Neurospora crassa OR74A: one gene and its partner. The protein of the gene in region 1 interacts with the protein of each later gene in a biochemical or structural test. Links are inferred from orthologs where the notes say so. Each region holds a gene or a part of one and is shown in the gene's direction. Other genes may lie near its edges. The genes, in order: NCU02496 and camk-4.

Region 1 (4,482 bases):
TGGGGCTGCTTGTCTTTGTCTTGATGATCACATCCACTCTACCAATACGTGTGCATATTCGACTGGATGAGGAGGCCCATTTATTCCTAATAACGTTTTACAGAATTTGCGAAGTACTGCGTCAATCGATCTCAACATGGTTTATTTCAAGTGACCTGAATACACTGTGGACCGTCATCATGTGACACCGCGTTACCCCGCGCGTCGCCGGGGCAATGTTTGTTTACATCCGCTCGCCACACAACGCGACATCAGTCTTGCTGCTCGTTGCTAGGTTGTAACAACGAAGAGATAGTGAATGACGGCCAACGAAAACCTGGGTGAGACATTGATCGGAAAGCGTCAGATACAATTGAGGAGCCAACAACATAAACAAAACAAAAGGGAGCGATCGTATGCCGAAGTGCAAGAACGGTTATGGGGTCTCGCCGGGAGGCAACCGTGGTTCACCACCAAAATGGCTTTCCGACACAGCCATTCACAGGCTCCATCACTTGAACCGAGTCTGTGAATAGTAGAGTTTGGTTTTGGTTTATCTGCGAAATCATGTCCCATGGCTCAAATTCTTGTAACGAGCTCGATGTTTCCACTGGATTTCCAACATCACAACATGGTAGAACCAGTCAGGCTGTTCCAGGGCATCATTGATGGGTACTAGGAGAAGGCGCAGACCGAGAACTTCTTCGTCAAATAGTCGATGAACAGGTTCTTGGTGTTCAAAAGTTTTGACATTGTTTCCGAGTTCCGATCCCTTGCCTATTCCTTTCAAAGGTCACACTTCTGTCATCCCTCCCGGGCTGCCGTGTGCGTAAATGACCCTGAGTGAATCAAGAAGTATGGACCATGCAAGTAGAAAAAATAATGAGGACAGGTCAAAGTGTCAGCGGAATTGTGACATTTTACAGGTTAGACAAAGATGAGAGGTGATAGTGAATACTTGGTACTACTGCGTGGTAAGGCAGAGTTCATGTACCTCGGCGCAAAGACGCACCGAATGCAAGTCTTCAGCGAGCGCTTATGTACCTCTCTACTGCGTGGGTAGGCCCGGGGATGTGCCGCGGAGTTGACGCCCGATCCCGCGCAATAGAAGCAACTCGTGTAAACGGAAAGAATGAAATGATGCACTGCAATAATAAGCCCGCATAATGATACTGACGAAAACAAAGAAGGAGGGATGAGATGAAAGACAGAAGTCACTAGTGCCAAGTGGAAAGCTCCCGCTCTGGGCAATGTGCAGCAGACGGGACCGTACGACGGGAATTAAAGTGACACATGCCAGGGGTCTCCGAAAGCGCCCGAGCGCAGCGCTCGCTCCAGGTACTACCCACATAGAACTTCCTAGGTTGCTGGGTAACAGCCCAGTCCAGTTACCACCGGTTACAAACAACCTAACCGGGTAATAACATGTTGTAAACCTTTCGCTAAGATGCTGTAAACTCTCCTCTAACATGTCGAGGATAGCGCCGATTGCTCCTGCCTACCCACGATAGCGTCAACTCCAGTACCGCCTCGGCCTGGTGTCGTTCTCGTTGTTGGGCTTCCGTAGGTGCAACGCCGTTGCAACCCTCCATCCTCGTTGCCCCTTCCGCCAACCAGTTGAAGGCAGGACCTTGAACGTCGCCGAGTGCTCCTCCAATTTTCGGGGACCACTGAACAGGGGCAGCTAGCTCACTGAACAGCGCAGACATCCGATTTTGTCAACTTCCTACCAACCACTTGAGCGAGGTCCAAGTTTACTTGCGAGTTCTCGTCCAGCTTCTGGATGGATGTTTACAGCAGCTCCCCTCTTCGCTTTCACTCAACATTGGACCGTGACACATGCGTGCACACAACACCTACGTGCTCCTCCTTCTTACAACAACGAATGCACGTTCTGCTCTTCGACCTTTATTCTAGCTTTTCAACATAGCCAGCCCAGTTCACCCTATGCGGTCGCCCATTCGCAGTCCTCAAAAAGACTCCATCCCGTCACCCACCAGGCTGTCCGTGTGCAGCTGAGCGCTTGTGCCGAACCTCGTTCACCCCGCCCCCAGGCCGCAGGCCATCACTGCCCGTCTACCCACAATACAACGGAACCCACTGTCTACCTAAAAGAACACCTCAGGTGGCGGCCAAAAGAAGTTCTGCCGTGCGCAAAGGTTTGCACAGCTGCATACCGCCCGTGGCATTGAACAACTAGACGGAACCGACCATACTTTTAGTTTTCGAACAAGGAAAAACGGAGATTGTTTGATCCCGGCGACCACAGAGCTTCTAAAACTGGTCCGAGTTCCCTGCCTGCACTTTCGGGAAGGCATTGTTGGCTGACGGATATGGACTAGGCTTTGATCGACATCGATGTCGGCGCGTCCAGTTTACACCACTAGTTAGCTTAAGGTCTTTCTGTCATCTTGCTCGGCGACAATCTTCAAGTCCCAAGTCCAGTCCAGTCCCCTTGGTCTTCCGTGCGCGCCAACTCGAGCGGACCTTTCTCTCGGTGTCCAGGTCCATAGCATCGCGACGGTGAACCCGACAATAGCAGCTCTCGACGACAGTGACGACGATTCCACGAACGCGAATCAGCCAGCCACAGCATCGATTGGCGACCCTTTTTCGAGTGCTGCGCAAGCTTCAGTCGTATCTCCAAGAATTGGCTTTTGTTCAGTATTCAGACGGAACCCGGCCCATCGACAGACCAATTGGAACACCGATCTATGCCGAACGCCAATCCGTAGGAAAGTCGAAACTGGTTGGAGAGTTGTCACGATAATATGGAGGCTTCATCGCCCCTGGCCGCGATTCGGCCTGCTCCGCCGTCCTTCAGCCAGCCAGAAGTGCTTGGACCGCGCAATGGCAACTTGGCGCCACCAACAGGTCTCTTCAACTTCAAGCGATCCAATGCGGACTTGTTCAACACCAAACATGCAGGAAGGTCTTCGCCTAAGGGTTCGCTGGTCGCCGGGTCGTCAGAAAACTTCAAGCTCAATGAAGCAGGGTTAGCCTTTTCACTTAGAAGTCGAACAACGGATAGCATTGTCGACAGTGTTGACCAAATGGAACTTTGCAGTAGCCCGTTACCTCCGACACCACGGCGTGCGCTGTTCACCTCAACAGGTATTGAAAACGCGGTTGAAGGTCGTGGTGAGTAATCAATGGAGCGAGCAATCTGCTACATAGCTTATTTAAAGCTCGGACGCTGACAGATCTGTAGGGTATGCAACCACGCCGCCGCCTCCTGCATCTTCGTCACCTGCAGTTAACAGGTTGGACATGTCTCCGGTACCGATCAAGGCACCTTTCCTGTCACGTCTCGCCGCTAGTCCTTCTCCGGCTGCAGTGGATTCTGGCGATGAAGACACACTACCAGACTCACCTGCTGCTGTGCGGCAGCTGTCTCAAGAATCCAAGGGAATCGGTGCCGAGTAAGTTCATGCTTGACTTTTGATCAGCAAATCTTCCTGAACTCTACCCTCGTCCTTTGGTCTGTGCAGAAGCTAATCATCTCCTCTTCTCTTTGCCAGGCGAAGGAGACTTGGCTTGTCTCGTCCACCTCTGGCCCGGGCCAAAGGTTATAGCACGAGTAGTATACCCGGGCGCTCCAACGGTTCGGGGTCGGGGCTGCCGCCCTTCCGCTTCGGTGCCCGGAACCTCAAGGTACCCATCTCCCCTTCGGTGTCGTTGTCATTGAGCGAATGTTTCGAGGAATCACCCCCGCAGGAGCGCCGGACACCTGTCTTGCCGGGTAGTCCATGCTCTAATGCAGCGGCAGCGCGCTGCAAGACTCATTTTGGCAGCGGCAGCAGCATTAACAGCGTTCGCAAACGTTCTCCCACCAACAATGCCCGCACACCTTCGAACCCCTTTGCCCGGCAAAGGAAAACATTCCGCCGCTCGCTGTCCATGTTTGAGAGTCCGGGCGACATTGTCAAGCCTAAGGAGCGCACATCTCTTCCATCTAGTCTCAAGTCTGTCGTGGATGTCAACGAACCTCAGGAGCCTTTATTGCCACATTTTTTCCCTTCAGGCGAGAACGATTCTATCCCACGCATCAGCCGAGACACATTGCTCGAAGTGCTTGACGGCAAGTATGGTAGTCAGTACTCGCACAGGATGATTATTGACTGCCGCTTCGAGTACGAGTATGAAGGTGGCCACATTGACGGGGCCATCAATTACAATGACAAGGAGCTTTTGGCGAGACATCTGTTCGAGACCCCTATGGAAGGGCGCACGCTCTTGATTTTTCATTGCGAATATTCAGCCCATCGCGCGCCCATCATGGCCCGCCACATACGATCCGAAGACCGCACTATCAACGCCGAATTTTATCCTAAACTCACGTACCCCGATGTTTACATCTTGGACGGAGGCTATAGCGGATTCTTCCAGAATCACCGGGAACGTTGCTGCCCTCAAGCGTATATCGAGATGAATGACGCCGAACATGTCAACACGTGCGAGCGAGAAATGGGCCGTCTACGCCAGACCCGTAAGGGCTTTAGT
Region 2 (4,464 bases), about 3.3 Mb from region 1:
TTTTGAACCACGCGACTCATGCAATACCAAGAGGTTTGAATAAAGCATCGATTTGAATTTGAACTGAAGACTTCTTTCACCTATCGGAATGCAAGCTCTCCGAACGCGCCTTCCAATAGCTTGGTAACGAGATACGCGTTATCCTGGACGCCAGAAGAGGGTGGGCCTTGGAGCTGAACTTGGTTTGACATCTGACCTTGGTCTGGATGCCCATCTAGGTAGACCTAGACCAGGATGCAAAATGATCACCTTGATGTTTGTTAGACTCGGGACGGAATCTGGTGGGGTTCAATTACATGGGTCAATGAATGAGAGAGTTTTCTGGACGATATACGATGTTAGAAAATTGGGAGCAATCATCTCGTCGTCGTCCTCGTCGTCGCAGGCAGTGTGGTTTCATAACTGCGTGGTGGTTTCCTTTTTCCGCGCTAGCTTCTTTCGGCAAGCGGTAGTGGAACGCCAGGATGACGCTCAGCTACGTCATACAAGTGGGAATCTTGGATCTGATCTTGCCGACTTGTGGAGACGCTGGACTGTTAGTGAAGCGGAAAGTGGATGCCAAAGCATGGAACAGCGCTCGAGAGTGAGAGGCAGCATTTTACGCTTTGTGCCCAATCCCATCGTTCAAACCGACCCGTCCCAATCCCCATCCATCACGCGCGGTCACCGCCGACAAACAAGGGCGGCTCGTCCTGGACAAAATAGTCGAGACCTTTGACATTATACCGTGGGTATACTCCTACTACGCATCCAGCGTTTTTGTTACACCTCTGATCTTGAGTTCTAAATAATTCCTGGATAGAAATATTCAATTGGGACTCTAGCCGATGTGAGGTTTTTTTTTTTTTTTTTTTGAATCGTTGTAATCCCTATCACAGCGAGTCTTTCCATCTCGGCGAGCGGTAGCGGACTGTTTTACTTAACCTCCTAACCTGGTGGTTGGTCTCATCTATTTTGTCTCGGACGAGGGTGGCCCCTTCCAGTGCAGACATGGTATTCTGGTCGGAGGAGCAAAAAAAAAAAAAAAAAAAAAAAAAAAAGGTAGTTACTTGAGGCCCGTATTCAACTCCAGGTAGCGTCTGTGGCTATGAGCGGTTTGTGTCATCTCGACTGACTGGCGGGACTGGACATCGACTCAAGCATCGTGCCCGCCCCTCGTGGGTCCGGTTAGGCTCAACAGCTGCGGTCTAGACAGGAGTCTGTCTGGTCTCTTGAATGGTAGGTAGCATGGCATATGGCATGGCAGCATGGATAATAGTCTGATGTAGTGTAGTAATGCGTGGTATGCGCCCGATGATGAAAGAAATGATGAAACCGAGAGGGACGAGCGAGAAAAAAGGAACACACCACACACCCTCCACCCGACTAGGTCCCGGTCACTCCCAGTCCCGGTAATAAAATAAGAACAAAACCCCTCCATGCCCCGTCGCCCTTTCCATCCTGTTTTCCCCCACCTTACCAAGCACCACTGCACACAGTCAATCTGCCTTCTGCGCGACCAGCATCTGATCATTGAGAAGTGTCCTTTGTCGGCATCGTCCGCCCTTTTCACTACACTGCATTATAACGAAACCCCGTCCAGGCCCCAGGATCATCCTTCTGTTCACGTGCGGACTTGACAACTGCGTCACTTCCTTTTGCAAATTATTCCTTGGTTCGGTCGTGCAGCCACTGTGACCTCAATTCCAGCCAATAGTAGCGCCCGCTTGCCCCGAGTCAAGCCTTCCTGTTGACTGCTGAGGTACCCTTCTGCCGCCCATTCCTCCTCCCGGCCGTCGTCATTGACTTCCGACAGACGGTTAATATCTTCTCGACACCAACGCGCGTGTCTGCGATCGCCATTTTCAACTCTTTCCAATTCCCCGAAACCATTTACAGGGCAGCCCAGCGACAGCAACGTCCTGTCCTCCACCTACAAGCCGCGCTCACCCTACCATAGCACCTCCGTGCTCATCTCTCCACATCGCCCTTTGCAAATCGGCACATTGATCCCGCCCAACACTGCCCGACCCCGCAAACGACCGCCTGCACGGAAATCCGCAGGACACCACTCGAGACACTCAACAGTCCTTCACTGCGCATTCTCGGCCACCTATTGATATTGTGACGACGCATAGTCCCAATTGCGAACAACAGTCCACCTGATTTCACTAGCTCTGCTCAACACCAGCTGAGCACCAAGGCGAGGATCCAGGTGCATCCTCCCACCGCTGTTCACCAGCCAACTCTCACAAACCTCAACCAAATCGTCATCTGATCAAAAAGCCCGAATAATATCCGACAAAATGTCGACAATACAACAGTTGAAGAACTTCATCCGACACGGTATGTCTGCTTGAGATGCTTGCTTGCACCTGCCCGCGCTCAGTACCTCTCCCCTGCCGTCTCCTCACGCCCACTCCTCCCTTCCCGATGGCAAGGAGTCGCAAGCTAATATCGGCCTTAATCAAACAGGAAAGCAAGCCCGCACTGCAAACCCTGAAGAGCCGGCGCGGACAAAACAGGCCGACCACTCTGCCACACAGCATCACCACCAGCCCACAAAGATGGCGGCCCCTGTCTCAGAACCTAACCTGGGAGGCTCTCCGCCACGCAACCACCAAGCGCCCGTTCAAGATGCCTACTCGAACACGCAAGTTGACGGCCATAACCGTGTCGCGCAGGCTGGCCATGCCGCTGCCCATTATGCCGAGGCCGACCAAAACCTAGCACACAAGACCAAGTCAAAGACCAAGGTTCCCGACGAGAATATTGTCAGGCTTGTTGCGGAAGAAAACGCAAGCAAGAGCAAATTCCCCAGGTACCCCGGCCTCGAGCGATGGGAGCTCGTCGAGAAGATGGGCGACGGTGCCTTCAGCAATGTTTACCGCGCACGGGATTTGGAGGGTAACGCGGGCGAAGTAGCCATCAAAGTTGTTCGCAAGTTCGAGATGAATAACATGCAGGTACGTGACAGCACACCGGGGATGCCCTCTTCTTCATCTTCGCCATCCTCGTTTCCTTTCGTCTTTGCCGTTTTATAAGGTTTCAATACCAACCTCCAGGGCTCACTATAGAGCAACAAACATCTCCATCCGGACTTCAAGCCAAAGGCACCAAAGGCTGCAGAGGTGCGAGAAATTTCTCTTTTGTCTATTTCCATTGTTGGTCGTCAATGTACTCTCCTCTCCTCATATGTCTCGACTGCTTTGTTATTGACGACCTGTCTCTACCCCGATCAAGCAATGGGGTAGGGACGTGCCCGCCTACTCATGTTCTGATGAGTTAACAATGACTGTGAACAGCGAGCCAATATCTTGAAAGAGGTGCAAATCATGCGCCAGCTTGACCATCCCAACATCATCAAGCTTGTCGACTTCGCCGAGTCTCGCCAATACTACTACATCATTCTTGAACTGGCGCCTGGCGGCGAGCTGTTCCACCAGATTGTGCGTCTGACGTACTTTAGTGAGGATCTCTCCAGGCACGTTATCACACAGGTAGCAAAGGCTCTGGAGTATCTGCACGAGGAGAAGGGTGTAGTCCATCGGTAAGTTGACCCACATCATCGTGCCAGTAGTTAGTGAATCTCTGCTCACTCCTTGAACAGTGACATCAAGCCTGAAAACATCCTCTTCAGCCCCATTCCATTTATCCCCTCGAAGCACCCGAAACCCAAGCAGCCAGGTGATGAGGACAAAGTTGACGAGGGCGAGTTCATCAAAGGCGTAGGTTCTGGTGGGATTGGTCAGATCAAGATAGCCGATTTCGGCTTGTCCAAGATCGTCTGGGACAAACAAACCATGACTCCCTGCGGCACTGTCGGGTATACAGCACCCGAGATCGTCAAGGATGAGCGGTACTCCAAGGCAGTCGATATGTGGGCGCTGGGTTGCGTTCTCTACACTCTTCTTTGCGGCTTCCCACCTTTCTACGATGAGAGCATTGAGGTCTTGACGGAGAAGGTTGCCAAGGGCCAGTATACCTTCCTTTCGCCATGGTGGGACGATATCAGCAAATCCGCCCAGGATCTTATCTCGCATCTTCTGTGCGTCGATCCCGAGAAGCGCTACACGATCACAGAGTTCCTCGCGCATCCTTGGATTGCCGGCTCGGGTCCTACGCCAAGAGACGAGCGGAAGAACCCGGATGGTGTGCTGCGGGCCTTCGATGCATCCAAGATTGTGGATGGAGACAGACGTTATGACTTCCGTTCTCCAGGTGCTGTCAATCTGCGCGAAGTGTTTGATGTTGGCTATGCCGTCCATCGCCAAGAGGAAGAAGGCAAGAGACGTCATAACCTTGGAGCCAAGGCGGGCGTGTCTCGTCTGGTAGGCCTCGACGAGAACTCTGACGAGGGAGAGGATGTTGCTATGCATGATGTCGTAAATGGCAAGCAATACCATACATCTCTTGAGCAAAGCATGCGCAATGCCCAAATCAGGGATCAACAACAGGAGCAACGCGGTAGGGACCGCGAGAGGA

The links.
Region 2: of the proteins of NCU02496 (region 1) and camk-4, one has a biochemical effect on the other in vitro, tested with the Schizosaccharomyces pombe proteins (2 studies listed by BioGRID). The link is inferred for Neurospora crassa OR74A from reciprocal best matches to the Schizosaccharomyces pombe genes cdc25 and srk1.

Annotation. Positions count from the first base shown.
Region 1 is NC_026501.1:2,517,960-2,522,441, reverse strand, and holds the start of NCU02496 (M-phase inducer phosphatase 3), read left to right. Parts: upstream 1-1,658; 5' UTR 1,659-2,262; intron 2,263-2,321; 5' UTR 2,322-2,750; coding exon 2,751-2,974; intron 2,975-3,046; coding exon 3,047-3,120; intron 3,121-3,190; coding exon 3,191-3,401; intron 3,402-3,500; coding exon 3,501-4,482.
Region 2 is NC_026501.1:5,859,069-5,863,532, forward strand, and holds the start of camk-4 (serine/threonine-protein kinase), read left to right. Parts: upstream 1-1,415; 5' UTR 1,416-2,285; coding exon 2,286-2,325; intron 2,326-2,454; coding exon 2,455-2,945; intron 2,946-3,056; coding exon 3,057-3,110; intron 3,111-3,284; coding exon 3,285-3,529; intron 3,530-3,589; coding exon 3,590-4,464. UniProt on the Schizosaccharomyces pombe protein: Delays the mitotic G2/M transition by promoting nuclear exclusion of cdc25. During osmotic stress, inhibits the G2/M transition in a sty1 stress-activated MAPK pathway-dependent manner.